Linked DNA regions of Diceros bicornis minor. The protein of the gene in region 1 purifies or fractionates together with the protein of each later gene. This does not show direct contact. Links are inferred from orthologs where the notes say so. Each region holds a gene or a part of one and is shown in the gene's direction. Other genes may lie near its edges.

What was found.
Region 2: the proteins of TSR1 (region 1) and LTV1 purify together in Homo sapiens (co-immunoprecipitation; 4 studies listed by BioGRID and IntAct, counting the BioPlex papers as one, with this or other methods). This does not show direct contact. The link is inferred for Diceros bicornis minor from reciprocal best matches to the Homo sapiens genes TSR1 and LTV1.
Region 3: the proteins of TSR1 (region 1) and RIOK2 fractionate together in Homo sapiens (co-fractionation; 3 studies listed by BioGRID and IntAct, with this or other methods). This does not show direct contact. The link is inferred for Diceros bicornis minor from reciprocal best matches to the Homo sapiens genes TSR1 and RIOK2.
Region 4: the proteins of TSR1 (region 1) and RPS7 purify together in Homo sapiens (co-immunoprecipitation; 4 studies listed by BioGRID and IntAct, with this or other methods). This does not show direct contact. The link is inferred for Diceros bicornis minor from reciprocal best matches to the Homo sapiens genes TSR1 and RPS7.

The regions. Positions count from the first base shown.
Region 1 is NC_080757.1:15,535,011-15,542,634, forward strand, and holds the start of TSR1 (pre-rRNA-processing protein TSR1 homolog), read left to right. Parts: upstream 1-4,466; 5' UTR 4,467-4,481; coding exon 4,482-4,578; intron 4,579-4,771; coding exon 4,772-4,875; intron 4,876-5,179; coding exon 5,180-5,399; intron 5,400-5,512; coding exon 5,513-5,647; intron 5,648-6,042; coding exon 6,043-6,467; intron 6,468-7,245; coding exon 7,246-7,405; intron 7,406-7,624. Other genes in the region: SGSM2 (small G protein signaling modulator 2), read right to left, coding at 3,098-3,154. UniProt on the Homo sapiens protein: Required during maturation of the 40S ribosomal subunit in the nucleolus.
Region 2 is NC_080778.1:23,096,168-23,104,579, forward strand, and holds the start of LTV1 (protein LTV1 homolog), read left to right. Parts: upstream 1-5,169; 5' UTR 5,170-5,313; coding exon 5,314-5,316; intron 5,317-6,329; coding exon 6,330-6,461; intron 6,462-7,604; coding exon 7,605-7,775; intron 7,776-8,412. UniProt on the Homo sapiens protein: Essential for ribosome biogenesis.
Region 3 is NC_080740.1:22,746,142-22,753,921, reverse strand, and holds the start of RIOK2 (serine/threonine-protein kinase RIO2), read left to right. Parts: upstream 1-4,541; 5' UTR 4,542-4,624; coding exon 4,625-4,690; intron 4,691-7,780. UniProt on the Homo sapiens protein: Serine/threonine-protein kinase involved in the final steps of cytoplasmic maturation of the 40S ribosomal subunit. Involved in export of the 40S pre-ribosome particles (pre-40S) from the nucleus to the cytoplasm.
Region 4 is NC_080751.1:75,267,055-75,274,617, reverse strand, and holds the start of RPS7 (small ribosomal subunit protein eS7), read left to right. Parts: upstream 1-4,134; 5' UTR 4,135-4,220; intron 4,221-4,474; 5' UTR 4,475-4,483; coding exon 4,484-4,558; intron 4,559-4,802; coding exon 4,803-4,874; intron 4,875-5,627; coding exon 5,628-5,771; intron 5,772-6,605; coding exon 6,606-6,670; intron 6,671-7,563.

The DNA.
Region 1 (7,624 bases):
ACCTGCCCCTCTTTTTCTCCCTCCTCTCTGAGGTTAGGGGTAGGTCCATCCAGGCCTCAAGGACACTCTCTATATGCTCGCAAGCCCAGCCTTCTTCCTGTCTAGGTAAAACCCTGATGTTTTGGGTTCCTACCTGGATGTACAAGCTTCCAAATACCTTGTAAGGTGAACAGTCACATCTTTCTTTAAGAAAGCACTTTTTAAAAACAAAACTTTTTACTGATGTAAACATATAGAAAGAGTGTATATCATAATTATACAGTTAGATGAATTTTCACAAACTGAACATGCCTGTGAAACCAGCATCCAGATGAAGAAACACAATATGTGACCAGCACCCCAAAGTACCCCCAACCCTGTCCTGTTTCCTTTCAGCATTTGGGTAGTTTCCAATTTGAAGCTCTTATGAATAGTGCTGCTATGAACATTCTGGACATGTCTTTTGGTGAACACAGGTGCCCATTTCTTTGGATTTATACTTCTAGACAAGGAATTTCTGATGCATATAGTCTATTTACTAGGTTTTGCCAAACTGCTCTCCAAAGTGGTACCAATTTACACTCTCATTAGCAGTGTGTGAGGTTCTAGTTGCTACCAACACTTAAGCCAAGCACTTTTGATGTCCTGGGGGAAGCTGCCAAGAGACAGATACTAATACTGGAGATTAGAGGGATGGATTACCTCAATACCAGTGTAAAATCTTACAGATAAAGTAACCTCGGGGCAGAGCTTGTCTTTGCCATTCTTTGGACAAGGCATGCAGTGCCCTGATGCTGCCCTTGCTCCCAAGGCCCTCACGTAGGACTGTAGTTTGGAGGACGGTAAAGTTTCTAAAGGCTGGGGAGGAAGAAGGAAGGACCAGGAGGCTCCTCCCTGCTGGAAACGGCTCATGGTTAGTGGTTAGGTAAAAGCGGATCAGATCGATCCTGCACTCTAAACTGTTAAAAGCTTCCTAGATTACTTCCCAAGGGGTGTTTGCATTAAACAGAGCATAACGTCACAGCTCAAAGACCTATAGGCATCTGAAGCAGGCTAGTGGGGCAGATTTTGGGGTCAGGAGAACCTATGGGTGCCTCTAGAATTATACCAGAGGTCCTTTGTGAAAGGCCAGCCTTGCCTACAACTACTCCCACTGTTTCTACTTGTTGGAGAGGAAAGGATATGTTTCTCTCTAAATCAAGTGCTGAAAGGGGAAGGGAACTAAGAGTTCAGAGCAAGTCAACCTTTGTCAGGTAGCATACATAGCTGTGGCATACTCTGGACATTTCTCATATTTGTTTAGGAATCATTCTTAGAGTAATACAGATAGCCTTCTTTTTTTTTTAAAGATTTTATTTATTCATTTTTTTCCCCCCAAAGCCCCAGTAGATAGTTGCATGTCATAGGTTCACATCCTTCTAGTTGCTGTACGTGGGACTCGGCCTCGGGTTGGACGGAGAAGTGGTGCCTTGGGGCACGCCCGGGATCCGAACCCGGGCCGCCGGCATCAGAGCGCGCGCACTTAACCGCCAAGCCACGGAGCCGGCCCCAGATAGCCTTCTAAGTACTGAAAAAAGAATCATTGTCATCTCAATCTTTCCTATCATCCTTGACCAACCCCAAATTTGGATCACATCAACAATCCTAGCACTGTTGGGGTATGCTTACTTCTTCGTTCTTGTTTATACTGTTCATATAAGTCTGTCACTAGACTGCTTGTTTCCTGAGGATAATCCCTGTGCTTTGAGATTTGAGATTTTTCTTTTCCATGGGGAGACCAGGGTTGGGTTTAAATGTTGATTCGATATACTCCTGGCCTAAAAAACTCTTTCTTGGCTGTTTCACAGCAAAAGCACATGGAGCTTCTCACACAGCAGGAAAGGTGATGGCTTCAACCACTTCTTGCCAACAAGAGAGAAAAGAACAAATATTAGGGCACAGTAGCCAGGCCACAGTCAAGGCAGGAGAACCATCTAGAGCCTTCCAGGATTTTACGAGAACCCAGAGTCTTCTCTAATCCTGAAACTCTAGGAAGGGGTAAAGGAATCAATATGGTAAACTTTTATATATGAGATAGATATTTTAGAGATGAAGAAATCAAGACTCAGAGGGATTAAGCAACTTATTCAAGGTCACAGAGCTAGGTCCAGACTACTCCAAAGTTTATGCATTCCCACCAGACTTCGCAGTCCCCAAGATCAGCAGATTTATTTACCATAGTCATTGAGTGCCTACTGTGTGCCAGGCACTGGATAGAGAGTAGTGGACAAAACAGATGGGTTTCCTGCCTTCATCGAGTTTCCACATCTGGAGGATGACAGCCACAGAGATGTGGGGGGGGGGGGGCGGGGAGGGAGTTCGTGGCTCCAAAGGCCTAATCTATTCTAATTCACTCTTCCGGTTTGAGCTCTCCAGCTCTCATATGGGGGTGAGTCATTCATATGGGCACCCCCTCCAATGAAACTGAAATAGGCTTTAAGATAGGGTCAAGGTAAAAGACACTAGTAGAGGGCACTCTTTTTCTCTGACATTAGGGGGTCCTCACTCAAAAGGGGAAAAAAAATCTGCGTCTTGAAAGCCATTCTCAAAAAACCCCTGGTGTCTGGGTAGAGAAGTGGGCGTGGAGGGAGAAGCAGTAAGGTGTCCAGCGAACCCTCCCGCAGCCGGGACTCAGTTCCCAGAAGAATACCGGAGGCGGGGGGAGTGTAGGGCAAATGAAAGCTAAACCCCCAAATCACTCGTTTAGCACCGCAGGACGCCAGCGAGGGCCCCGCCCCCTCCCCAAGCGGCGCGGACAATGAATGGGCAGCCCTGGTTCTCTAGAAATCGCCGCCACCCCTCCCCCGACCTCGGTCTCCCAGCGCTGCTGCCGTCGCAGGGCGGGGAGCTGCGGGATCGCGGAGCAAACAAGCCTCGGAGCGTCGGCCTAGCCCCGCCGGCCGAGGGGAGCTGGCTGCCCCCTGATCCGAGGGAGGGCGGGGGCCGCAGCCAGTCCAGGACCCCGCCCCCGCCCGGGGGCCCACGAGCGCCCGCGCCCGGAGGTGGGCGCAGAGCTTTCCGTCTCCTGGGCCGCGCGCCCCGGGACGCGAGCCCCAGGGGGTCCTTGCCCGGACTTTACCTCCTTTTTCACGTTCCAGAGCAGTTTCTCTTTGACTGCGTCCTCTGCGCTGCCCATGGTGCGGCGGGTGGCGGCGAGGCGGCGCCGAGCGGCCCCTAAGCCCCCCGCGCGCCCTCGCCGCCTCCGCGCCTCTCGGCTCAGCGCGCCACGCGCAAGGCGGAGCCCCCGCCCGCCGCGCTCCCCGCCCGCCGCCGCCGCCGCAGCCACTGCCCGGTGCTCGGCTCCGCAGCCATTTTCCGAGCCCCGCACAGACGTCAGGCGGCTGGCCCGGCCCCTTCCCACAGCCGGGGGCGGGGGTTAGGGGGGGTGCGCTCAGCCACGGGGGGGATCGGGGCGGGGGGAGGCTGCGCGCGCCTGGGGGCGGCGGGTCCCCGGGCGCACGCCACGCGGGCTGCTGTCATGGCAACGCGCCCGCTCCCGGCCCGAGGGCGCGAACTCGCATTGTGAGCGCCAGCAGCAGCCCTGCTCGGCGCTGGGTGGGGCTGGGAGCGCCCTGGACGCCGCGGCCGAGGGGAAAGTCGCTCGCGCCGGAGCTGGCCTCAATCCAGCTAGACGCCCCCTGATTTCCACCTGCTCGTTTTCCCGACGGGAAGGGCCGGGGCCCTCTGCATCTCGAGTCTGGCCAACGGGAAGCCAGCGTTAGTCCCCTGGCTGAGAAAAGCCGGAACTCCATCGTTCCTCTAAGTACCCCTGCCAGCTGGTCGCCCTCAGTTGCAAAGCTGGTGGGAAGAGGTTCTGCTGGCCCTGAGGGCTCGAGTATCACGGCCAGCCCTCCCGCCCACCTAGGGTTCGCCACGTCGGGTCCGGCCCTTCTTGCTATGTGGGAGGTAGGGGCGCGAACGGGACCAGCGGGAACTCGTAACGGAGGGCGTGAAGGGGAGAGAAGCGCCTTCCACACGATTCGCCTTGTAGACCTCGGCAGCCTCACAGGAGAATTGAAGGAAAGGTTGCTCAAAGTGATAGAGAACACCTGCTGCTGCAAACTGAGGACTGCGTGCACAAATCTAGGAGAGAGGACGGGCTTAGCCCTCTTCTGCACGAATGGAGAATCTTCCATTCAACATCTTCCTAAGTGATGCAACTTGATAGCGCAAAAAATGAATATGCAGGGGAGCAAAACAGCCCTCCGGCAGCGAGAGCCCGAACCTCGAGTCTACAGTGGGCGTTTTAAAGCGCCCCCACCAAATACTGCCGCGTGGAAAAGTTTACACCTCGGTTCTGCGGAGTCGCAGGCGCTGCGCTCTCAGACGTAGCTGGTAAGTATCCTCGCGAGAGGGCGCGGGAGCCCCGCCCCACCCCGGGGAGGGTCCGCCCCCAAGGAGGAGACCGGAAGCCCTCGATCCGGCCCGGAAGTAGTGCTGACTTGGTACACGTGAGCGGCAGTATGGCGGCCCATCGCTCCGGCCCGCTTAAACAGCAGAATAAACCGCATAAAGGCGGGCGGCACCGGGGTCGGGGATCTGCGCAGCGGGACGGCAAAGGTGAGAAGCTAGGGTTGGAGGAAGGAGGGCTGTTTAGTCGATATTAACTGCTTTTTCCTCATGTCCAGACTGAGCTCCTACCTCCGGCCTGCACCCTGCGCTAAAGCTCTTTCTAAGGTGGGCGGACTGGCCTCCTCTTTCTTGATCTTCCTCTGAGGCCCAGCACAAGAGCCCTTTCTGATCTCCCCTCCAGGCCGTCTAGCGCTGAAAACCCTAAGCAAGAAGGTGAAAAAAGAGCTCAGCAGAGTAGATCAGAGGCATCGCGCCAGCCAGCTCCGAAAACAGAAGAAGGAGGCGGTGAGAGGAGCGGGGATTGGGGGATGGTGTGGCTTCACAACCGTTCTAGGCGGTTAATGCCTCGAACTAGAAAGTGTGGCCCCGGAAAGGGGCTTGGGATGGAGACTAATCCTAGAGCGTATGTCAGGCGTGCAAGTCTAGACTCGCGCTAGAGCATTCTTTGCCTTGGTCCGACCCCCCTGACATGCATATCGCCTTTTACAAGAGAGATGCTGGCTGGGAGGAGCATCCGTACCGTTGGAAATGCGATGCTGGAACGTAATACTGAAACATTGAGATGTTCTCTAATCCTTTGTACTCCCAGGTTCTGGCAGAGAAGAGACAGCTGGGCAGCAAGGATGGCTCACCTCATCAGGTACTGGTGGTGCCCCTGCACAACAGGATTTCTCTGACAGAGGCCTTTCGGCTGCTTCAGGATAGCGAGTCTGGAACAGTACACCTGAATAAATGGGGAAGCACCCATGGCTTTATGCTGTTATGCCCCCGCTTGAAACATCGGTGGTTTTTCACATCTGCAAGGCCAGGTTGGAGCGTGCAACAATATTTTCTATCATTATGTTTTAAGTAGTATTATTTTTTGAGTATAATGTGCTGTTGCCAACCACCTCTTCCTACTGACTTTGTCTTCTTTCTCCAGGGGATCTGCACACTGTGTTAGACATGGCTAAAGTAGCTGATACCATCCTGTTCCTCCTTGATCCACTGGAAGGCTGGGACAGCACTGGGGATTACTGTCTTTCCTGCCTCTTTGCTCAAGGCCTTCCCACCTATAGTAAGTGAGTTGGGAGTATTGGAGGCCAGGAAAGGAAGTTAATTAGTGTTTATTGTGCACCTGTAGTTTGCCAGGCACTGTCTGTCACTTGATACAGGAATACAACGGGTGGATTGTATTCAGCCGATGGTGGATTGTACATGTAGGCTTAAACTTGGTCCATTATTTACATATTACCTACTGAGGTGCCTTTTTATTTCTGGGCTGGCCTTTGCCCAGAGGAAGAAGAATATGAAGTTTGGTTTTACTGTGAAATTTCTTTAGGGTAGCTGACCGTTGGTTTTCCCAGTGATCTCTGGCCTCACAACTGAACTGTTAGCTTGTTTGTGAACTGCAGGGGGCATTTTCACATAGTGAAGCAGCAGGTCAAGAAGCCCTTTCTCTTTTGTTTACAGCACTTGCTGTCCAGGGGGTTTCTGGCCTCCCACCGAAGAAACAAATAGATGCTAGAAAGAAGTTAAGTAAAGCAGTGGAGAAGCGCTTTCCTGATGACAAACTCCTCCTGTTAGACACTCAACAGGAGGCAGGAATGCTGCTCAGGCAGTTGGCTAACCAAAAGCAACGGCATCTTGCCTTTCGAGATCGGCGGGCCTACCTGCTTGCTCATGCTGCTGACTTTGTGCCTGGTGAAGAGAATAACTTGGTGGGCACCTTGAAAATCTCAGGCTATGTTCGTGGGCAGACTCTGAATGTAAATAGTTTGCTGCATATCGTTGGACATGGTGATTTCCAGATGAAACAGATAGATGCCCCTATGGACCCTTTCCCTTTAAATCCTAGAGTGATCAAATCTCAGAAGGACCCAGGCATGGCAATGGAGGTAAGATTGATGTCTTAAAGATTGTGAATTGTAGATAAGTGTGTAAGCTGGTGCAGGATGTGAACTAACTTGAGGAGACAGTAGTCTGCATACCTAGACTACTACTAGTCCCTGGAGGTGACTGCTAGTTTGAAGGCAGTAGTCTACAAATATGTTGATATATCACATATTTATCCAGCATTTTGTAGGTGCCTTGCACAGCAATTGGCTCTGAGTTTATAGAAGACACAAGATGCAGTCTCTTCCCTCAGACAACTTACTTAGGTCTGAAAAAAATGGCAAACACCTGTGGAATAAAGAATAAGAAAGTGTATTTGAGGAACAGACCTGCTGTGGAAGTTGAGAAAGTAGACAAGCAAGCTTCACAGGAGAGATCAGACTTGAGCCAGGTCTTGGTAAGGGTGCATGTGATTTATGAGTTGGCGATGAAAGACTATCCTAGAAGATAGAGACAATGTGAACCTAGACACAGTGATGGATCAGAGGGTTTCTTTGAACTCTGAAGAAATCAGCTTCATGGGAGTAAGATAGGTAATAAACTGGTAGGAGTGGGACCAGATTATGAAAGGCCTCAAGAACGAAGCAGAGATATAGATTTCAAATGCTAGGAAATAGAACTATTTGAAAAATTTTGACAGGTTTGGCTTTCTGTTTCATTCTAGTTCATTCATCTTCTACTTGAGGACTATGTTATTTCTGGATCTTTCTGGTTACTATGTTAGAATTAGTAGATTTTTGGTTAATGTTTGACTGACCATCACCTGCTTTTGGTTATCAGATTTGTGCTATGGATGCTGTAGCTGATATGGAGGAAGACCTTAAGGTCCTAATGAAGGCAGACCCTGATAGACAAGAATCTTTGCAAACAGAGGTTATCCCAGATCCAATGGAAGGGGAACAGACCTGGCCCACTGAGGAGGAGCTGAATGAGGCAAATGGTTGGTATTGACAAAGTTGTTTGTAATTCATCTGGCCTGGAATTATAGATTTTGTCTAGCTCCTCACAGTCAGGACCCTATAAGGAAGAGGGAGATGAAGATATATTTGGAAGTCTGTTAGCCCCAAATGCTGTATGTTTGCGTTAAGCAACATACAGCATGAAGTGAAGTTTGTTATTTATTTATTTATTTATTTATTTATTTTTTCCCCCAAAGCCC
Region 2 (8,412 bases), on another chromosome or scaffold:
CTTTTATTTTTCTCTATTACAAATAGTGCTACAGTGAACATCCTGGTACATACATCTTTTTTTGCTGTTGTTGAGATAAAATTGGTATTTAACATTACATAGCTTTCTGGCATACAGTATTATAATTCAATCCTTGTATACACTACAAAGTGATCACCACCTTAGGTTTAGTTACCATCTATCACCATACAATTGATCCCCTTCACCCCTTTCACCTTCCCTCCAACCCCCTTGCCCTCTGGTAACCACCAATCTGTTCTCTGTATCTATGAGTTTGTTTTTGTTTTGTTTTGTTTTGTTTGTTCTGTTGTTTTGTTTTTTAGATTCCACATATAAGTGAGATCATATGGTATTTGACTTTGTCTGACTTTTTTCACTTAGCATAATACTCTCAAGTTCCATCCATGTTGTCATAAATGGCAAGATTTTCTTCTTTTTTATGGCTGGGTAGTATTCCACATCTTCGTTATCCATTCATCCATTGATGGACACATATGTTGTTGCCATATCTTGGCTATTGTAAAGAATGCTGCAATGAACATAGGGGTTCACATATTTTTTCAAATTAGTGTTTTTGTGTTCTTTGGATAAATACCTAGAAGTGGAATAGCTGGATCATATGCTACTTCTAATCTTAATTTTTTGAGGGATCTCCATACTGTCTTCCATAGTGGCTGCACCAGTTTACATTCCCACCAACAGTGTATGAGGGTTCCTTTTTCTCCATATCCTCTCCAACACTTATTATTTTTTCTCTTTTTGATAATACACATTCTAACACGTGTGATAACAGAGGTGGTATCTCACTGTGGTTTGGATTTGCATTTTTATGATAATTAGTGATGTTCAAAATTTTTCATGTGCCATTTGTATGTCTTTGGAAAAATGTCTATTCAGATCCTCTGACCATTTTTTAATTGAGGTGTTTGTTTTTTTTTGTTGAGTTGTGTGAGTTCTTTATATATTTTGGATATTAATCCCCTGTTGGATTTATGATTTGCAAATATCTTCTCCCATTCCCAAAGTAGGTTGCCTTTTTGTTTTGATGATGGTTTCCTTCCCTTTGCAGAAGCTTTTTAGTTCAATGTAATCCCCATTGTTCATTTTGGCTTTTGTTTCCCTTGCCTTTGGAGTCAGATCAAAGAAAACATTGCTAAGACTGACGTCAAGCAGCTTACCCTTTATGTTTTCTAGGAATTTTATGTTTCAGGCCTTACATTCAAGTCTTTAATCTATTTTGAGTTAATTTTTCTGTATGGTGAAAGGTAGTGGCCTATTTTAATTCTTTCACATGTGGCTGTCCAGTTTTCCCAACACCATTTATTAAAGAGACTGCCCTTTCCCCATTGTATGTTCTTGGCTCCTTTGTCATAAATTAATTGTCTGTATATGTGTGTGTTTATTTCTGGGCTCTCTATTCTGTTCCATTGATCTGTGTGTCTGTTTTTATGCCAATGCCATACTGTTTTGATTACTATACTTTTGTAGTATAGTTTGAAATCAGGGAGCATGATATCTCCAGCTTTGTTCTTCTTTCTTAAGATTGCTTTGGCTATTTGGGATTTTTTGTGGTTCCGTACAAATTTTAGAATTATTTTTTCTAGTTCTGTGAAAAATGCCATTGAAATTTTGATAGGAATGGCATTGAATATGGTACATCCATCTTGATGCACTTCCCTTTTTATAAGTTAAGTACCTCCATAGGCTCTGTTAATATTATCAAGCATGTAATTTATAATTTCTAAAGTTACTGCTTGAGTGTCTAGGTAGTTTGGCTATACTCAAGCAAGTTCTCCCCACTTTGTGTACATTAGTTTCCTAGTGCTTGGGGATCCTTGGGTTATGCTGATGGAAAACCACTGCTGAATGTGATGTAAATGGGGCTAAGTTGATAAACACAATTTCAGCAGGCAAGTTAATTTCATATGGAAAAATAAGAATTTTTCCAAAGCCTAGACTAAACCAGAAATTCTGTTTAATCATTTTGAAATGGATGCCATTATTCAGAGCATACTAATAACGGGGTAAGAGAAGTATGGTTTGGATTTATTATCATTAATATAATATTTCAATTATGGGTGATTTTAATGATAGGAAATAACATTTTTCTGTGTTAGAACAAGCCAGCGTTTTGTATATGTACTGTTTCAATGAATGCATTGTGCTAGATATTTTATTCAACAAATATTAAATGAGCTAATATATATACTGCACCCAGAACAGTCTCTGACACATGGAAGCTCAGCACATGTATTGGCTTTTTGAAATAGGGTACATTGTAATGGTTAAGGGTGTGACTCTCAAGCTGCACCTGGGTTTGCATTTTGGCTTCATCACTTATGGCTTCGTGCCCTTAGGCAAAAGTCACTTACTTTTTGTTCCTCAAACTCTAATGTAAAGAAAGAAAAAAAAAAAGATAATAGTATATCTCCTTAAATCCTTTTGTAAAAATTTAATGAGTAAATATATGTAAAGTGCTTTGATTTGAACAGTGCAATTATTATTAAGTCCTAACTATGCTATGCCCTGGGGAGGTAAAGCTGGTGTGACAAAAACCCTTGCCCTCGAGTGGGTTACTGCAGTCTGGTTCTATAAAGACAGGTGAAAATGATACCGATTCAATATAAGGTTGACATAAGGGAAGCCATACTGTAGAAAAGACACCATATTGTAACTTAGAATGACCTCTGACTTACTCTGAATTTCATGGCCCCTCCTAGCCTCTATAAGTTGATAACTTTGTTCTTTTGAGTTCCTCAGGAACATGATGACTCCTGAGGCCCCACCCTGGGACCAGATGCCTCCCCACTTGGAGACCAGCCCTCTATATAACTGGCCTGTAGTCTTTGTTCTGTAAGATAGTTCTTTGAGACATTAGTCGGCCCTCTTTCTCCTTGCTAGCAAGCTGTAATAAACTACCCTTTCTCTGCCACCATCTTGCCTCTTGATGATTGTCTTTTGTCTCACAGTGAGCAGATCGTGCCCTTTGTGCGGTAACAAAAATAATAAGGGGTTATAATTTTAGGGTAAGTGGTAGAACAGTATAATCATAGGATACAGTGAACACATGTGGAATGGACCCTAATTTTGAAGACTGTAAGACTTCCTAGAGGCAGAAATGGCTAAGCTAACATTTGAAGAACAGGGAGCAGAGAGGAAGAGCCTTTTAGCTGGGCATGAGAAAGCCAATCTCTTTTAGGTGTATTTGGGAACCACAAACAGTTTGATAGAGCTGGGTCATAGAGTGGTATGTCAGGGATTAAGGGGACATGATGCTAAATTGATGGGTAGAAACCAGATAATATAAAGTCTTGGCTGCCATGCAAAAGAGTGGACTTTATGCTGAGGCTGGAGGGTAGACACTGAAAGGTTTTATACAGAAAAATGACATGATTGGACTAGAGTATTAAAAATGATAAATTTGATAAAAGGGGTAATGAGGTGATACATTTGGATATTTAGAAGACAGAATGGACAGAATTTGCTGGCTGGCTGCCTTCCCAAGATAGTCTAGCATATGGTTAAAGGTGTGGCCTTCCTAACTAGACTGATGGGCTACATATTTAAGCTCTTCCATTTACTGTGTGACTTTAGGCAAGTCACTTCAGTTCTCTGAACCTCAAGCTCTCCTTCTATAAGATGAGCTTGGTGTTATCTAAGTGTACTTTACAGGCTTATCGAAGGAATTCAATGATATAATGCACATAAATTGGGTAGCACAGTGTGTTTAGTGTTAGCATTAGCCCAGTAAATATATAAAGTAACAGACTATTACTCAAAAGAAAAAAAAGCAAGTAATGTGGTTAAGTTGTCAGGCTCTAGTCAGACTCCAGTTTAAAATCCCTGCTCGGCCATGTACTGGCTGTGTCACCTTGAGAAAGCTACTTAACTTTCCTACGCCTCAGTTTAGAATTTGTAAGATAGTAGAAGATAATAGCACCTGTCTCATAGTGTTAACGGTAAGGAAGATACGAGATAATTCAGGTAAAGTGCCAGAACATTAATTCATGTAAACAAACATTTATTGGGTATAGGTGCCAGGCACTATTCTAGGCCCTGAGCAAAGACACAATAGTAAATAAAAGAGATCAAAACGAAACAAAACCTACCCTCCCGGAGCTTAATTATAATGAATGTCTGGCACATAGCAGTGTTGTGTTATGTATTACCTCTGTTACAAAGCACGATCCCAAGACAAGTTCTCTGGCCCTAGTTTAAATTGTTTCTATAATTTTTATCATAGTAAAAGAATAATTTTCCATAAATATTTATAGTGGTAATAGGTGGGACCTAAAGATACAATCCAAGATAACTCAGACGTTGGCAAGACACCAGAAATGGGGAGGGGGAAACACGAATTTGAGAAAAGGTCGGCTGATAACACTTGGAAGGCATTCCCACCTTCTCGCGCCCAGGGAAAAGCTATGAGAGGGCCCCAGCACCTGCCCGAAACCTTCCTAAGAAGGGATGCTTATAGCCTGTTTGCTTAAAGCAGGTTAACACACTTGAGGAACGACCTGGAAGGGAATAAACAGTAGTTCCCCCCTTATAAGGTATGCAAACACCAAAGAGATCGCCTATGTGATTAGTTCAAATGCCTCTGCTGTCAACAGAGTCGCGGGGGTTTTGCTAACTGGACCTTTGAACGCGGTCCATTAAACGATGGAAAAGCAAGGCCGGACTCAGCCCGGGGCAGCCCGGAGTAGCGAGGCCGCGATCCTCCGTTGCTAAGGCAACCGACTGGACGCCGGCCAGCGGAGAGGGAACCTGAAACCTCGGTCCCCGGGGGGCGGCCACCTTCCTTCCGTGAACACGGGTTTGTTTTGTTTTCCACGGTGGGGAACGCGCAGTGAACACACATGTCCACGGGGCTGCTAGATTCGTCCCCTGTGTAACCGGTAGAGGGCGCCAGAAAAGCCAGCTCGCGCTTAAACAGCAGCCGCCTTGCGCCCTCACCGCCACCACGGCGTCGGCGACTCCCTTCCCGCGCGAACTGAATTCCGGCCGAGAAAGCCCCGCCCCCCGGGGGTAGGAACGGCCCCACCTCCTCATAGCTTCTCGCGATCGTCGCCACGGAGCGAGCGATGCGTAACTTCCGGCCGCGACGCCCCGGCTCTTCGGCGATTGGTCCATTTCCGCGGCCCGCTGCGGGACTTCCGGTCAGGCTTCCGGGGTTGCACGTGTGGAGAGGCCTGAAGAGAGGGGGCTGCGAGCTGGGTGTCGGCGGCGTCCGGGACGTGCATGTGGCCTCTCCGGGGACTCGGAGGGTGCAGTGGTGGCCCTTCTGTGGGGTGAGCGCCGTGCGGCTGCAGCATGGTGAGCAAGTGTCGTTGTCGCGGGGGCGGGGCGCTCGGGTTTGGCAGAGGCCATGCTGGTTCCGCCGGCGCCGCTGGCCTCTGCCGCCTGGGCCTGGGGGGGCTGTCCGGGGGCGCGGGGGGCGGCCTGCGGCACAGTCTCCCCGTGTGGGTCACCCTCGCACCCCGGGAGGACTGCGGTTCAGAGTGGGTCTCCCACGGACAAGCCTCCCTGGGTAGTGGGCAGAAGAGGATGGCCTCCCCTTTCCTCGAGGGGCCTGACAACCTGTGACATGGGACACAGACACGCCCCCTGTGCTTCATTGGGTCGGGTGGAGAGGGAGTTAATGGTCTCTCCAGACCTGGGAGTGACAGGTGTCTGCCCGTTCCTTTGCTCCGGGGAAAGGAAACTTGGGGGAGAGTCTCAGGTTGGTCCCAAAGCAAGATGGCTTCCTCCGCTGGGACGATGCTTTCTCAGTTTAGGAGAGCAGCATTGCGTAGCGAAATAAGAACGTAGACGGGGCTGACGAATCTTACCGAGCTTTAGCTCTTGTGTCTTGGCTTCATTTGGCAGTTGGTACTTGAAGTGCGTACCCTGCTTGGACCTGTCGTCCCCAGATTTTCTTGTGGCAGCCTCCTTGTCATTCTGGTTCAACCTGTCAGGGACCCTGCTCTGAGCACCCAGTCTAAAGTAGCTCCTAAGTCATTTGCACGTCACTGCTTTGTGTTTTTCTCTTTATCTGAAATCATTTTCTTGACCATTTGCTTGCTAAGAATGGGGACTTGGTCTGACTTTCCCATCGCTGTATTCCCAGCACCCGTAACAAGGTCTGGCACAGAGTAGGTGCCCACAAATGTTTGTGGAAGGAAGGTAAGTATAGTTTTTGTAGAACATAGGTGATGTTGTCTGCTCTAGAAGTGAAGTTTTAAAAAATCTGTTGATCCTTTACTTATTGAAGACACCTATTTGGACTATGATACTGTTCACTGTTTTGTTTTGTTTTAATGGCTTGTTCTGATTCTGTTCCTTTGAAGCCTCACAGAAAGAAAAAGCCCTTCATAGAAAAGAAGAAAGCTGTGTCTTTTCACCTGGTGCACCGGAGCCAACGTGATCCTTTAGCGGCGGATGAGACTGCACCTCAGAGGGTTCTGTTGCCGACACAGAAAGTAAGGCCTGTGTTTTAGCCAAAAAGTCTGTAGGTGGACTGTTGGTGATTTTTAATAAATTATGTTAGCCAGCTGCTCTTCTCAGATACCTGTGATCTTCCGGGAAGCAAATCTATGACTTAATTTTCAGTAAACTTGCTGATTTTTACAGGATGCATTTTTATTTTGGTTTAGAGGATAAAACATCTTTATTTGAGATGTTTAAATGAACAAATCTTATAAAGTAATGGTAAATATTTACTAGACCATCAGCTATAATGCTGCATGGTGTTATTTAGGGCACAAATGTGTTCAGTCTCTGCTTTCCCTAAGATCCTGCCATTTCGTAACCACAAACTGCACTTTGCCTCCTGGTCGCCCATTTCCTGAAATGTACAACATCGAAACTCGTGAGTTAGCTTTAGAAAATGCCGGGGAGCCTTTAAAAAGTTGATTTTGTAATTATCAGTCAGAGTATACTTGTTTGTTTTTTTTTCTTGTGAGGAAGACCAGCTAACATCCATGCCAATCCTTCTCTTTTTGCTGAGGAAGAGTGGCCGTGGGCTAACATCTGTGCCCATCTTCCTCCACTTTATATGGGACGCCGCCACAGCATGGCTTGACAAGTGGCACATCGGTGCACCCCCGGGATCTGAACCCGGGCTGCCAGTAACGGAGCGCATGCACATAACCGCTACGGCCCAGGGCCAGCCCTAGAGTATACTTGTTAAGTTTGGGTAATGTGAAGGGCAGTGTTGGGAAACATTGGGCTATTTAGCTTTTCAGTAAAGCCAGTTTGTGGTGTATGTTGAGAAGCTTCTTGGCATATAATTATAAGAAATTGTACTTACATTTCAAGGCCCTCTAGTCTTCTAACCCCCCAATTTCATGATAAAACAAAGAGTGTGTGTGTTTCTTAGCTTGAATTGTTGCACAGAACTGTCTAGTGGAAGGAGGATTGTTTTCATTCCATTTTAATTTTATATGGCACTCGCTTTTAGAAGCTTTGTGTTTCCTGAGTTTGTCCAGAATTCTTTGTCTCATTTCTTTCAGCCAAAGTGTTCGTGTGCCATCTGCCTCCTAGTCTGAAAGCTGTGCTCATTGGAAGGTTCCTATGCCTTACCCTTGGAAGAGGTGCTAACTCCATTTTGTTTGTTACGCTAGATAAATGATGAGGAAAGGCGAGCAGAACAGAGGAAGTACGGCGTGTTCTTTGATGATGACTACGACTACCTGCAGCATCTGAAGGAACCGTCTGGGCCCTCAGAGCTGATTCCTACAAGTGCCTCCAGTGCACGCAACAGGAGAGACGAAGAAGACACTTCAGTAATTTCCGTAAGACTTTTCAGCAATTTAAGTGTGAGAGAGAGAGTGTGGGGGTGAGTGAAGAAACCACCATTTTTAAATCAAGATAACTGTTTGGGGCAAGAAGTGGTGTCAGTCTGAAGAGCACAAAGACAAGCCGTGCCCTCACTTAAAATTGTGTATGTGTGTGTGCACATGTGGACTTTGAGGACAGAGTAGCCCACCTGTTCTCTGGTGGCAGCTGTCAAAAGTAACAGCCTTTGACAGAGTTAGAACTTTTGATTGATAGACATGGGCATGTTAGCACCTTTAATAGAAGAAAACCAGCTGACGTTCTGTATGTTAACAACTTAAGTGTTACAGCATCATAAACTGTGTTCTAAGATAGAACTTAACTCTCATGGAACGTTCAGATCTTTCGCACTTGTAAAAAACTATAGGCTAACCGTAAGAGAGAATAGAGGCAATAGATTGTAATGAAGTTCCTGTTACTCTTTTCAACAAAAATGCAGTCCAGTTTAGTACTTTATCTTTTAAATACAAATGAGAGTACATATTTATATGAAATTAGTGCTACTAATTTAGGTTCAGTTTTTCCCCTTGTTTATGTTAAGGATGCCCATGTTGCATGCTTTTGTTATCTTTTATTTAGTTTTATTATAAATTT
Region 3 (7,780 bases), on another chromosome or scaffold:
TATTGAGAATGACAGTAGGTGGAGCCGATACTATTTCCACTCCTTGATTCTTGGACCTATGTATTCTACCTCTTGGGGACCACATAAAAGTTATCAATCTCTTAGAGGATGGCAACCCAAAATCACAGGGTATCACCTCTGAGCTGACACTTCAGCAGTGCCTCTAACAGGCTGTTCCTTCAATAGACTTTCCCGTCATTCCATCAAACCAGCAGTTTCTGAATGGTGTCGTATGTGATATGAGCAGGGATCCCATGGTCATATGCATACTGTTGTATCTCCTTTGAAGTAAAGTGCAGTCCCATGCTGTTAGAGCAAATATTCTGTAAGCCTCACAATCCTGGTGCAAGCTGAGGCCCTGCAGACAGGAAAAGCAAGTCCATGTCCACGTATACTACTATCAATACGAATCTCTGGCTCTGGCTCTTGTATGGTAGAAGAGGCCCAATGTAGTCAATTTGACACCAACTGACTGATTAGTCTCTTCAAGGGATGGCATCACACTGGGAACTCAGCATTGCTGTCTGCTGAAGGCGGACTGAGTGTTCAGGAACAGCAGTAGCTCTTGTAGCATTGGTAATTTGGATCCCATGTTGTCAGGCCCATGCATGTCCTCCTCCATCCCTGCTACCATAACTAATTCATTTGTGTACCAATTGTGCCTTCATTAGGGTGGCAGATTGCAATGACAAAGGCTGACTATCACCCAGACAGGGTTTTAGTCTACCTGGTTGTTTAGTGCCTTTTCTATGTTAGATGATTTCCAGTGGGTATTAATATGCAATCCAAAGATTCTCATACTTCTTGTCCACTCTCATATACCCATTCTCATGCCTCTATCTCAGAATTCCTTGTCCCTAATATAACCATTTTTCTTCTTCCAGGCCCTTGAGCAACCAACCAAGCTATTCACCCCTGCCCCTGAATCCATGTATATTCTAACGTTGGGCTATTTCTCTTGCTACACAAAGTGGAGGACCAGGTGCACCTCCCAAGGCTCTGCCCATTGGAAGGATATTCTCTGATCACTTCTCTTTCAAGGCCACCCAAGTGGGGCAAGAGTTCAACCACAATTTCAAACTGACTCACCCATGAACCAAATGTGGGCTTTTTTTTCCTTTACTAGCTGATCATAAGAGATCAACCATGGAGGTATGAGCTGAGGAAGAGGCATCTGGACAACAGTAGTGCATGACATGGAGTCTAGGCTACATACTCACGCAACTTGTTGTGCCCTCTGGTCCTGCTTGTGTTCAATCCTGAAGGCACCACTTTCACCTTATGATGGATTGTTGCTGAACTTGCTCAACTTTATATAAGATGGTTGATCCAACAGAAACCAGTTCATTAAGGCCAGTTGTGGCTACAATATCACCTGTACCTCAATGTCAGGCACTTTAGCTCTCTTGGGGCTCTGTAGCACGCCAGGAGCTGTTTTTTTAAAAGGCATTTCATTCTCTGTTGCATATTCTGCCATGTTCCAGAACTCTACAAGTTTGCATCGTGAGTCTCTCATCAGAATTTGCCATAAATTCCACACAACCATATATTCCATACTATGTCTTTTCTCACTGCTGATATCTCTAATACTCAAATGTATGGCACTATAGCCTATGCACAGTAAAGCCTATTATAATTTTTCTGAGTTTTAGCTAGTATAATACCTTAAACATAAATAGATCATTTTTCTTTTCCTTGACTCAATTTTTTTATTCAATCTCGTTCAAATTTTTCCATAATTAATCTAATTTATGGACTACTGGAGGTTAAAAAGTGGACAGAATCATTAAAGATAAAGGGCTACAGAAGATTAGAGGAGGGAGAGCTTACTTTCCTTTGGGATTGTAATAGGTTGAATAATGCCCCCCCGCCACAAAAGATATCCATGGAACCTATGAATTTACTCTATAGGGCAAAACAAAAAAAAAGATTTTGCAGATGTGATTAAGGATCTCATTGAGCCCTAAACACAATTACATGTATTTCTGTAAGAATGAGACAGAGGGAGAAACACACAAAAGTGAGGAAGGCAATGTGACTACAGAGGCAGAGAATGAACTGACACACCAACAAGCCAAGAAATCCCAGCAGTCACCAAATGCTGGCAGAAACTGGAAGAGGCAAGAAACAGCTTCTCCCTTACAGCCTCCGGAGGGAGCATGGTTCAGAACTGTAAAAGAATAAACTTCTATTGTTTTAAGCCAACAAGTTTGTGGTAATTTGTTACAGCAGCCCTAGGAAACTAATACAAGGATAACAAAGACAAGCTTTGTGGGGTACATAGGATTTGAAGAATGGTAGGTAGGATTTACATATACGGTGATTGGAAAGAAGAAAAATGAAAAGGGGGAGGGAAGGCGAGCATTATAGATGAAGGGAAAAGGCAGTGAGACAGAAAATCAAGTGAGCTGTACAAGGAAAAAACAAAGTAGTTCAATTACACAAGAGTATATACTACTTGAGAACAAGTAATAATACAGATTATTGAAGATCTTGAATGCCAGCCTAAGTTTGAACTTTAATCTGTAGACAGTCAAGATCCTTCACAGCTTGTGAGGACAAGCTGTATGTTTGTGTGTGTGTGTGTGTATTTGCATGTGTGTGAAGGGAGTGAGGGTCTGGGAGGAGAAAATAATAATGTGATAAATCTTTTGCATAACTCTGTCATAATATTCTCTAATGTTTTATTCATTTCTTCCTACCACAAGGCTCAAGAGGTGGGATTGAGTTTCACCAGGACCAAGCAAAAATTCTGGGGTATATGTTTGATAAACGGCAAATGAGAGAATGAAGAATATTGTGCATTTTTGTTTTAGTCATTAGTAAGCATGGTATAATAGAGTAGAACAGAATACTGAATAGTACTTGCATCCCTTTTACTCTTCAAGGGTCTATGATGATTTTATTAAAATATATATATATACTAATATTGAAAGTATAAGAGATTTGGGCTCAGTGTGATTAACCCCAGGGAATACTCCAGAACCAGGACAGCAATTCTAGCCAAACCCAATCAATTAGTGTGGTTGTCTGGAACACAGTTGAGAAGTAAAGTTTGTGCCATAATAGATTAGCAATGTCTGCTAAAGCGTTGGATTAGGAGTAGACACCCAAATGACTTGTTTCCATCCCATTCTTGCTCCAGAAGTTAGTCATTTGGTTTCCTTAAAAATTTTTCATTTTTATGTCTTCTTATGTGAAGGACAGAAAGAAAAATTCCATTTCCATGGAGGTTCCATTAGCTGAGCATGGTTAATCAAAGATTTACTGCATTCATGTTAAAAAGAAGCCAAAGGTTATAGTGTAGAGGGGATAAAGTGGTGTTCTGCTTTCTGTCTTCTATGATTTCAGAGTACTAACTATTCTGGCTGGAAAGACATGGCAGATTCAACTGCCTGCCTTCTAACTCCAGTACACATTTTATGCAAGGGCTAGCTCTGTATTTGAACCAACATACAGAGTAGGGCTTGGAAAGAAGGAAATTAGTACATCAATCAGTGGAACCCCAAAAAGAAAACAAAACAACAAAAAAAAATGGAACTCTGTAAATACTGAAGTCCAAAGTTTGCACTGAAAGTTTTGAGACTGGACCCAGACAGAGGCTAAACAGCCGTGGTTGGAAAGGAGGTCAAGGCTGGAGTGGACCACAATCTTCTGTGACCACATGCAGCAGCCACACCTAACGTGAGGGATGTACCAAAATAATTGCCTTTTAAAGGTTTAAAATACAGTTCATGAAGCAAGATATAAACGCAAACCTGTATTATCATACAAGTTTTCCTATCCTTGTTGCTGTTGTAGGGAAGGTATGGTAGAGTACCCGCCCTCTTTGTCGGGGTGCTAGGGTCCTTCTCCGATTAAAATTTTTGTGGATGTAGAGAAGAGTTCCGGGGCCAGTGTGGGTAGCCTCCTAAAGCCCTTAAATCGCTCCTGGGCGATATCAAACCCGCGTAGGTCCACTCCGAACCATCAAAACGCCCACTGTCTTCGGAAATGCCCGGGAGAAGCAACGACGACAGCTCCACCCTCCACACGTCACCCTAAACCCCACCCCCAGGAGGCGCAGGCGCACTCCGGAGTCTCCAGGACCAACTTAAAGACGTACTGAGCAGGCGCAGTAAGAAGAGTGGTTGCTTGTGTGACTGCTATTGTTTTTATCTTTAACGGCCTTGGTTGTCTGGAGTCGCGCTCAGGTTCCTTTTCCCTCTCTCGTTGGAGCTCACGTTGCCTAAAGTAGGAGTTGCTGTTTGGGAATAAAACTTGATAAAAGTTACCACTTAGAGGAAGGTCGCGTCCTTTAGGCAGCCCGTCCTGACAGATTATGAAAAATGAAACGGCATATTGTAGCGAACACTTACAGTCCGCCAAGTCCGTCACATGACAAAAGCACTTTACAAAAAAATACCTTGCCTTGTTCCATGCTTTATGCTTCTTATAACCCAGAAGACGTTTTAGTTTCCCGTGCCAGAGAATAGTACTTGTGTTTATTAACAAGGACCTGTAGTGAGGAGCAGCGCATGCGCGAGCACCCGCGGCTGCGAGACACGTGAGAGCCCCGGGCCCGGCTTGCTCTGCGCTCTCGGGTTGTTGTGGAAGAGGCTTCTGGGCTGGGTCTGGGGCCGCCATGGGGAAGGTGAATGTGGCCAAGTTGCGTTACATGAGTCGGGATGACTTCAGGGTCCTGACCGCGGTAAGAAGTTCGCCGTTTCCCCCTCTCCCCTGTCCTTTCCCTGTCCTCTTCCTGGTTCTCGAAGTTTGCCGGCAGCCGAGCGCGCTCCGGACCCGGGATGCAGCCGGCCGCGGCTGGGAAGGAGGAAAAGACCGGAGAGTCGGATTATTCAGAAGCCTTTGTTCAGAAGCTTCTGTCTTCCCCCAGATGGAGCAAAGGCCCCTCTTCTAATCGTTTCCTTCCTTTTGCCCCCCTTCTCCTTATGCTCCAGAGCCGCCTCGCATCTCTGTGGCCTGAGAAGCTCTCTGACCCCGGGCTGAGGAGGGTTAAGGCTCCCGAGGAGAATTGGTGGCATTGAGTTCCCCGCTCACAGGCTCAGTCACATAGCGTTCCTACAGTTTCATTCAATCAACACATTGTCCGATTTTTAGTAACAATGTTAGGGAATTCAGCGGGGTCCAAGACAGGCAAGGGGGGGGAGACATTATCAACAAGTAAACGAATAGATTAAGAAGAAGGATCATATCAGGCAGTGAGTACTATGGAGATGGTAAAGAGGAAAAGAAGCGGATAAGGGGTTAGAAACGACGTGCATGGTGGGGGCGGGGACATGAATGCTCTCTTTAAATTGTGTGGTCAGAGAAGATTGGCTGAGTGCAGGAGTCTTGTCTGTTGACCGTTGTAACCAAAGTTTTGAGGCCTTTTTAAAAAGTTCCTGGCACTTAGTAAGCACTGAATAAATTTTTGCTAAGTAAACGAAAGAATGGGGGGAGAATAATAGGAGGTAAATGAGAAGGAGCCCGCACACTGAAATCCTTGGAAAGAGTTGGTGGCAGAGGAAACAGCAGTAGTAAATGCAAAGGCCCTGAGGCAGGAAAAACTTTTTGGAGAATGGAAAGCCCAGTGTGGCTGGAGTTTAATAAGCAAGAGGCTCAGTGGTTGGAGATGTAACTGGAAAAGGTGAGAGCCAGATCATGTGCTATATACAGCCTTGAACTTTGGTAAAGAATTTGGAATATATTCTAAGCATAAGGGAGCCACTAGGTGTTTTTATGCAGGAAAGTGACAAAAACTGATCTTATAGTCTTAGTCTTATGGAACGAAGGTCAACACATAGATTAGGCATTTGTAGAATAAAACAAATTTATTTAGGAGCTATTATCTTTTCCTTAAATAGGCGATACTTAAGGATTAAACTATCAAATGCAAACTCGGTGTGCAATTTGGAAGACACTTTTCTTTCTCCTCACAGATTCAATTCAGCTAGACTTTTTCTAAATACCTACTGTTACTTCTGAAAGATACCTTCCTTTGCTGCTTCCTCAGCATATTTGCTCATTCCGTAATGCCTTTGACAGAACTAGAGGAGTCAAGAGAAAGAACGTTAGAGGCTGCAAGAGACAGAACAAAGCATGGAAGATGAGTGAAGTTTAAAGTGGGAGGTTTTGGTTGGGGCATCAAAATGATGCCAGATTCATCTTCCAAAACTTTGTCTCTGCAATATTTCAGTTCTTTTTTGAAACTCACCAAGGAATGACCTACTCATTAAATATGGTATTTCAGGCTTAGTGGAGTCTCACCAGCCTTGGTATCAGTGGCCACCTTTCCTTGACCCGCTCCTCCCTTTACTTATCTGATGCCTCCCATATCAGTAATCATACTTGGACTGACTGCCCTTACCTTTCTATGTGAACTTCCCCCCAAATTCTCTCCCTCAACCCTCCTTTTTCTTCCGTTATTTCTTGCTTGATGATCGCATCCACTTCTCGGCTTCATCTCTTACCTCTTTCACATAATCGACCATTTTCTCCTTCTAATTATGACTTCATTCCTGAGTATAGATCTCCCTTTCCAGTTTTCCTCAAACATCTTCATTTGAAGGACCTTCCAACTCCTCAAACTCAGTGTCCTCAAATCAAGTTCATTGACTGTATCTACCCCCTTTTACCAAACTCCATTAAAATAATAATATACATAACATGTAATGTAATAAATATACATATATTATTATGATAATTGTGTATTATTATTTATTATGATTTTAAAACCTGCTCTTCCTCTTCACTTCAGTTTTGACTCTTCATTCACTTTACCCTCCCATATCCAATGCCTATCCCTCCCATACTACTTCCTAAAGATCTTTTAATTACTTTTACCAGTACCTCTTCCCTGTTCTGGCTTCTGTTTCCTCTGGCCTGGACTGTCGTTTGCTTCTCTAGTACACCGCCTCCAGTTTTTGCCTTCTCTAAACCACTTTGCATATTCCTGCTAGATTAACGTCCTTAAAACAAACTCTGGGCGCCGGCCCCGTGGCTTAGCGGGTGGGTGCACGCGCTCCGCTGCTGGCGACCCGGGTTCCAATCCCAGGCGTGCACTGATGCACCACTTGTCCAGCCACGCTGAGGCGGCGTCCCACGTACAGCAACTAGAAGGATGTGCAGCTATGGCATACAACTCTCTATTAGGGCTTTGGGGGGTAAAAAAAAAGGAGGAGGATTGGCAATAGATGTTAGCTCAGGGCTGGTCTTCCTCAGCAAAAAGAGGAAGATTAGCATGGATGTTAGCTTAGGGCTGATCTTCCTCACAAAAAAAAAAAATCTGTTCATCTATCTCCCTTCCTAAACATCTTCAAGCGTTTCATACTTTCCTTAGTATAAAATCTAAAACTCCTTGGTCTATATTTCAAGGCCTTCCATATCTTACTCAAAAGCGTTTTCCGGCCTTCTTTTCGTGAACTGTGTGCCAGCCCATCTGAGCTACCGCTGTACTGGCTGTTCCTGTGCTCTGTACTTTCTTGCATGTGTGCCATGTGCACATCTCTTTTTTTTTTTTTCTTTCCCTGGTATTTCCTTGTCTGCTTTTTCTATATTCCTGCATCTCTTGAAGTTGGTCTCAAGTGCTACTTCTTCCTTAAGACTGATCCCTCAGCTAGAAATATTCTTGTTCTGTTCTGGGCCACCTCTTTTTTAGCACTTATCATTTCTTACCTTCTAATAGAGTTAGATTTGTACATTCTTATCTCCACAATTAGATAATAAATTCTCAGGGGTAGAGAGTGTTTTTACATTTTTTTATCCTCCACAATGCCAACATATGGTACTTTCTCATTAA
Region 4 (7,563 bases), on another chromosome or scaffold:
GAAAGCTTTAGGATCCTTAACACATGTTTAGCTTATTGGATTTATAAGAAGTTGTTAGTTTTCATTAAAGTTTTGTTAAATCAGTTTCTTAAAATACTAAAAAAAAAAAAAAATGCTTGAAGTGATGCAGCTGCTGACTCTGTTCCCTCAGAAAAAGGAGGAACAACCTACACGCTGGGCACCGATTCTATCCCTCAGCCCCGTGTCGCTCATCAGCTGCACTCAGGCCTGACATGGGCAGGCTGCCTCGCCCTCTGCTCACAGCCTCTAGGTCTGCCCGGTCCATGTCCTGGGGCCCTCGATTCTCCCTCACCGCCCTCATCCAGGTGGCCCACCCAGCAGCACTCTTGGGGAGAGGGAGAGATGACAAAGTACACCTTTCACATTTGGGTTTGCAGCTGGATTTCCTAAGACGGCCATTTTTCATCGTGTGCTTCAGCTACCTGCACCGCTGAAGGCTTTCCTGACCTTCCCGGGCAGCAGGCGTGTGTTGCTGTAGTGTGCCTATCCTCCCTGAGCCAAGGCTCCCCACTACAGTACAGCAAATGCAGCCTAAGGCTAGTAGGAAGAAGGGCACCATTACGTTGCATCAATGACTGATCCCTGAAGTCAAACAGGGCCCTGAGCATAGGGAAAAATGGCTGGGCTGTCATTAAGCCTGTGCACATACTTTACTCGGAAGAGTAGGCATGGAGTTACCTCCTGCCCTGTTAATCTGGATGAGCAACCTAGTGCAAGTACATATGATATTGATGTAGCAAGCATGGGTCACCTCATCTCCCTTAGGTACCCTTTGGTTATTTCCATCTGCAGAGTTTACAACACAATGGACTGAGGTACTTGTTAGAAGTTGATATATTGACAGTAATGCCAATTTAATAATCAACTGTAAGGTAGATTCAGGTTATCAATGCTAAATGAGCTAGTGAAGGCACTGCTGTATTACAGCATAGCAAAGACTCTGGTCATAATAACTCTCAGCCCTCCTGAATAAACAAATCTGAACTGTATTTGTTAGGCAGAGTCCTAAGCAAAATTTGACTCCAGTGTCTCCAATCTTCCCTTTTTACTATATTTCTTTTCTCTTGTTGAAAAACCTCTCTCCTCTAGGCACTGAGTGACTTTCCTCTGACCTCTGGAAAGTCAAATCTTCCTAAAGAAGGATGCTTGGCTGCCCTCCCTAAGACTCCACCCCCTGCAATGCCAAAATTTTTTCTTGTATTTCATTTATTAGGCCTCTGTTCTTCCTGCTAAGCTAATAGGGGATATATACTTTCTGTTTCCAGGTAATACTTTCATTTTAACAGGAACTGGAAATAAAGTATCGACTTGAAGGTTCCCTGTGAAACCTAATTAAAAAACAGTTGTGAACATTAAAAGGATATTAAGGGAACACTATGAACAACTCTAGCTGCATACATTCAACAACTTAAATGAAATGGACCAAAAACTAAAAGTATAAACTACCAAATCTCACCCAATGTGAAATGGATAATTTGAATAGCCTTGTAACTATTAAAGAAATTGAACTCGTAATATTAAAAACTCCTGAAAAAAGAACTCTCCAGGCCCTGATGATATCATGGCAGAATTCAAACAAATGCTTGAAGAATTAACATCAATTCTGCACAATCTTTTCCAGGAAAAAGAAGATGAAAAAACACTCCCAACTCATTTTATGATGCTGGTATTAACGTGCTATCAAAACCAGACAAAACTAGTACAAAAAGAAAACTATAGACCAATGTGCCTCACGAACACAAAAAAAATCCACGACAAAACATTAGTTAATGGCACCCATCAATATGAAAAAGAATTGTAATTCATGACCAAGTGGGGTTTGTTCCAGAGATTCAAGGCTAGCTCAATATTTGAAAATCAATTAATGTAGTCCACCATATTAACATGCTAAGGAAAACAACTTACATGATCATATTAATTGATGCATAAAAAGTATTTGACATCACCCACTCAGGATAAAAACTCTCAGAACAGGGATAGAGGGTGTCGATGCAAATAATCCATAAAAAATCCATAAATCAAAATTGGGGCGAGTTTATTCTGAGCCAACTCTAAGGACCATATAGCCCAGGAGAGTTCTTCCACAAAGGAACGGAGCACTCCAAAGTGGGGTGTACAGAGTGGTTATATACCATCGAAGAGCATGCATCACATATGACTGGAATGTCCCTTTTACAATAGTCACGAGACTGCTTTGCCAGCACAGCAATTTGATGAACACAGCAGGTCAGTGGTTGCAAGGTGGGTGGTCACAAGATGAGCACAGCAGGTCAGCAATTAATCCTTAGTTTAAGGAGAGATGCTTGTCCTTACGGAAATGCCAATGTGGGGGAAGTTACATCCTTATCTTAACGGCATTGTTCTTGTCTTTGGGACATAGTAAATACTTACAGCAGATATAAAATGCATGCTCAACGGCCACGTCAGGCCATTTTGGAAAAAGAAGTTTGGGCCAAATTAGTTTTACACCAAATGGCTTCCTCATATACTCCAACATCCTATTGCCAGTCATTTATTTATCAAGGGGAACTTCCTCAATTTGATAAAGAACATCTACAAAAAACCTATAGTTAACATCATACTTTCTGGTGAAAGAACACTTTCCCATTAAGATGGGGAACAAGGCAAGGATGTCCACTCTCACTACTCATATTCAACAAAGTACTGGAAACCAGAAAGGACTTTACTGAATGCATCCTTAGACTGCCACTTTGGTACAGTGGCAGAAAGCCAGGTTGAAAAGCAAGAACAAGAGTAAGCAAATGGAAATTCTTCAAGGGGGTTCAGAATGATCACCCAGTTGAGTTTACAAATGCAGCTGTTCTTTACTGTTCTTTCTTGAACAAGCTTCAAGTTGATTCTTCATTTTCCAAGGAGACAGTTGCGTTTACATTAGAAGAGACTATCTAGCTGAAAATATCTGAGATGCAGTCTTAGCTTAGTGAAGGTGGTTGGAAATCCTAGAGATCATCTGGTGTACTGTTTTCAGGATTTTTCACAGTGCCTGGCCCACAGCAGATAAATGTCACATGTGACACACAAGGAAACTGAAGCTCAAGTAGATTAAACTACCTGACCACAGCCAGATAATCTGTTCCCTACGTGGGATGCTCCTTCCCTGGCGATTAGCTCCCACATCTCTGGTTAATTCCATCTCTTCCAAAGACGTCCCTGACTTCCTAAAGCGTGGACCTTGCCCCCACGCCCCCACTCATTTTACTGGCACATGTTCTTCCAGTTTGCACCATATGTCTAGTCTACTCCTTATGCGATGTCCTCCTCACCACGCCCTGAGGGCACGGATCCAGTCGGTTGCCTAACAGCCGGCACCCAGCGCAGTGTTAGCAGAGTACCGGCACCACGTTACTTGTGAATGAAGTTTCCAGCTCCTCTCCAGGGCAGGGCCTCCTTTACATGAATTTGAAGAGACAGAGGGCAGGACGCAGGCACTTTCCCATAGAGGCGTCTTTGAGTTGAGTACTTGTGATCCACTGCAGACCCACCTGCCAGCCCGACTCTCACCACAGGCATCCCGCAGGTGGGACTGCCCGCTCGGCCCCGCCCCCCTCCGCTCTCCCCGAAGGGCCGCACCGGCCCCTCCAGCCCTTGTCCACGCGGGCAGTGGTCCCCAGCGGGCCGCGCCGAGCCCCAGGACAGCGGTCTTGGAGGACCCGTCCTCCGCGCCAGCAATCCCCCCGAGAGCCCGGAGTCCGCGGCCCACGACCGGCGGGCGTTGACTAGTAACGCCCCCGGCTTCCAGAGGCCCTGACAAGCAGCGTCCACAGGCGGAGCTGGAATCCTGGTCTCTGATTCCTTCCACTGCCTCAGCGGGAAGTGAGCGTCCCCGGGTTAAGTCAGCCTTTTCCAGACGTCCTAGCTTAGCGGAGAGCCCAAGTTCCTTTCTTGGGCCCAGGGCTCCCGCCCAGACCCCGGTACAACTGCCTGGCTCCCGCCTCGAACCTCGGTAGCCGGCCCATAAATTCCCGCGAACAGCACCGGAAACGAGACGCCTACGGCGGAAAAGCGTAACCGACGGAATGGTCCCCCGGAGCCTCTTCCTGGGACTCTCTAGGTTTCTACCGTTTCTCAATGGTACTTCCGGTTTCTCCCTGCGCTGTTCCCGCCTCTTCCCTTCCGCCGCCGGGATTTGACGGGCTCTCGCGAGACCTAGGCCTCTTCCCGGGCCGGCGCTCATCAAGGTAGGTGTGCGGCTTGTTGTCTGTCGGCACTTTTCTGCCGACTTTGAGGAAAGCACGCTTTGGAGTCAGCCGTGGAGCGGCGGGCCCTGATCGGCGGGCGAGGATACGGCCGATTACGCGGCCCGTGCCCCCCGATGGCTTCGGGGCGGGCCGGGGCGGGGGCCGGGGCCGGGTTCCCAGGCGGGCGGGCGGTGGCGGTGGTCTGCGCCCGGGTCGCGGAGCCCCGCCCAGCCTAGAGCGCGCTGTGCTTGCAGCAGAAGGCCATGTTCAGTTCGAGCGCGAAGATCGTGAAGCCCAATGGCGAGAAGCCGGACGAGTTCGAGTCCGGCATCTCCCAGGTGAGGGGAGGGGCGGGCTGGGCCCCCGTCGCGTGCCCCCCGGTCGCGTGTCCCCGGCTGCCTGTCCGCCTGTCGCGTGTCCCCCGGTCGCGTGTCCCTGTCCGCCTGTGGCGTGTCTCCTGTCGCGTGTCCCCTGTCGCGTCCCCCGCCGCCTGTCGCGGCCGCGGGTGTCGGGGCCCGGGGTGACCGCACGTGGGTGGCCGCGTGGGCCGGGCGCTGAGGCGGCTCTGCTCCTGTGCTGCAGGCGCTCCTGGAGCTGGAGATGAACTCGGACCTCAAGGCCCAGCTGCGGGAGCTCAACATCACGGCAGCCAAGGTGACCCGAGTCCGGTCGGCGGGAGCGCGGCGGGGGTCCCGACGGCCCCGAGCCGCTGGGCCGTGCGGCGGGTGGGGGCGTGTCCGCGTGCGGGGCCTGGGGGCCCGGGCGGCGGGGCCGGCGGTGCAGAGGGGCCGGTGGCTGTAGTCTCACTGCCCCTGGAGTAGGACGTGGCAGAGAGACGGGAAATTCTCTGAGGCCTGCTCTCGCCATTAACTTGCAACAAGCATGCGTTACAAGTTAGCTCTGGAGGTTAGACTTGGCTCCTAATTTGACCGCAGCGGGTACTGTTTACTGTCGAGGCCGTCGTCCTGCCTCGGTGTATCTGTTTAGCGCGCAGGTTACCGAAATTAGTTGTTAATATCACGTCTTGGCTGTAGAAGGTACAGCGTGCCTGGAAAGTCAGAGCTTGCGAAAAGATCTGTGCAGGGGACAGCCAGCCTCATCTTTGGTAGCAGACGACTTAGATTTACTTCCTGGGGTAGAAGGTTACCCGTGCGTGCTGGTTGTCAACTAGTTCACGAGCTGCAACTTGCGCGCGTCGGATTCGCGAGGCGTGAGCAGGACTGACGGTGAGGCTGTGGTACCGGCAGCGAGAGATGAGCTGGAAAGGGGTTTAAGAAAGGAGCGCCCACGATGCGCGTGTCGCAGTGATGACGGTGCTCGCGGTGAATGTCACCACTTGATGTTGTACCTGGGGGAAGAATGGAGGTTATGAAGTTAAAATAGTGTCGTTTTTTTTTTTTCCTTTAGGAAATTGAAGTTGGTGGTGGTCGGAAGGCTATTATAATCTTTGTTCCTGTTCCTCAACTGAAATCTTTCCAGAAAATCCAAGTCCGGCTAGTACGTGAATTGGAGAAAAAGTTCAGTGGGAAGCACGTTGTCTTCATTGCTCAGGTAGCTGTTGTTGAATGTTTTATTTTGTGAATTTGTTAAAATCACTTGTGTTTAGACTTTGTGTTGATGGGCGGAATAATTAAAATAACCTTTTTGTGAATACAGAGAAGCTACTTCAGTAGGGTGCTGGGAGAGTTGTGCTTGCAATGGGTGGAAAAGATAAAGTACACTTTTGCTAGTAGTACTAAAATGGTTTTCACGTTTGCAATGCCATAAATGTAGTGGGTTGCTTACAGAGGTGATCAGACAAACTGAGGTGTGTGGTTACTCTGAGCCGTGATTTTTCTGCCTGATAGAATTGCCTGTCTGAGGCTCTCACTGCTCAGGTGAGTCAGATGTAGACTTTGGGAGGAAAACAGTTGCTAAAGAATGGTTGGTAAGAAAAAGGGCAAATAGTCAAGAAAGGTTTTTTTAAAGTTCAGATCTGGCCTTGCTGCCAACAGAAGTCTATGGGAATTGAGAGGCAGACTGATGAGGAATTAAAGGAATTGTATTCTGGCTCAGTAACCATATTAGTACCTGTGTTGGGTAGTGGGCCTGATTAAATGTGGAAAGGTACGTAATATTTGGGAGATAAGTCAAATCATGAAGTAACTGATTTTTTCCAGTACTATTTTAATAGAAGCTATGATTCTAAGCGAATTATTGAGAAATCAGGAAGCACTTCATTGGATTTCTCAATAACTTGTTTAATCTTGGTTGTTTGGTTTTCTTGAACTTTGAATTTATTCTTAATAAGTCTTTGCTTTTAAAGCAGTTTGACAGTTCTTAGCTTTCTGCCAACTTAAAGTCCTTTTTATTTTTTATTTTGTTGCATGATAATTTTTACCTTAGAGGAGAATTCTGCCTAAGCCAACTCGAAAAAGCCGTACAAAAAATAAGCAAAAGCGTCCCAGGAGGTGAGTATTGTATCAGCATCAAAATGTCTGTGCTAGTCTTACTAACAGCTCTTGATTTATGTGGGTTGTTTATAGTAAGAGTTGCAGTAGGTGTCTAAAATAAATACTGGTAGTTTCAGAAAACCGTTAACATGGGGAGTTTTGTAGAGTAACTTTTGGTATACTCTGTAATTATATGTAGAATGTTTTCAACTTAACTCACATAGGTAGTATAGTAGGTCACTGCTGTCATAAAAGGTACGACTCTTGCCTCCAGTTCTTGGGGCAAAGAATAGGAGCAGCGAGAAGGAAGCGTTAGTTTAGTGCTGTGGATAAAGCACACCAGACACAGTGGAGGTGGGCTGGGATGTATCTGCTTTCTTTTTGCTGTGAAATAAGGTTAAAAAAGGACGGATTTTCTGTTGCTGGTGTCACTGCAGCCTTAGGTGCTGATGGACGCTGTTCTGTGAAACTGACTGACTCACAGCCTGTCGGGTGTGAACTCAGATGTTGATGGTTGGCGCCTTGATCTGGGCCTTCTGGTAGTTGTTCAAGTCTCTGGTTACACAGACTTGGATTATTGGATTCCTGCAGACCCTGCCCTAGGAACCAGTTTGAGAAAAAATGTTCTAGTATCTCTAACTGGCAGATAGCCAACAACCTTATGAAGTATATAATTTGTATTATTCCTCCTTAATGGATGAGAAAACTAACCCAAAGCTTGGAGAATTTGCTCGTTACAGCTACTGATAGTTATGCTGGAATTTTTAAAAACTCAGTCTTCTTTCTAAAACCCTTGGAAAATGAAGTTGATGGGACGCTAGTACTGTGGGCAGATGTTACTGTATCACTGGTGGCTAGGAAGGAAAGGGAGTAGTGGATGAGGCTGCAAAGGCAGGTGCTAGGTGTTCTGG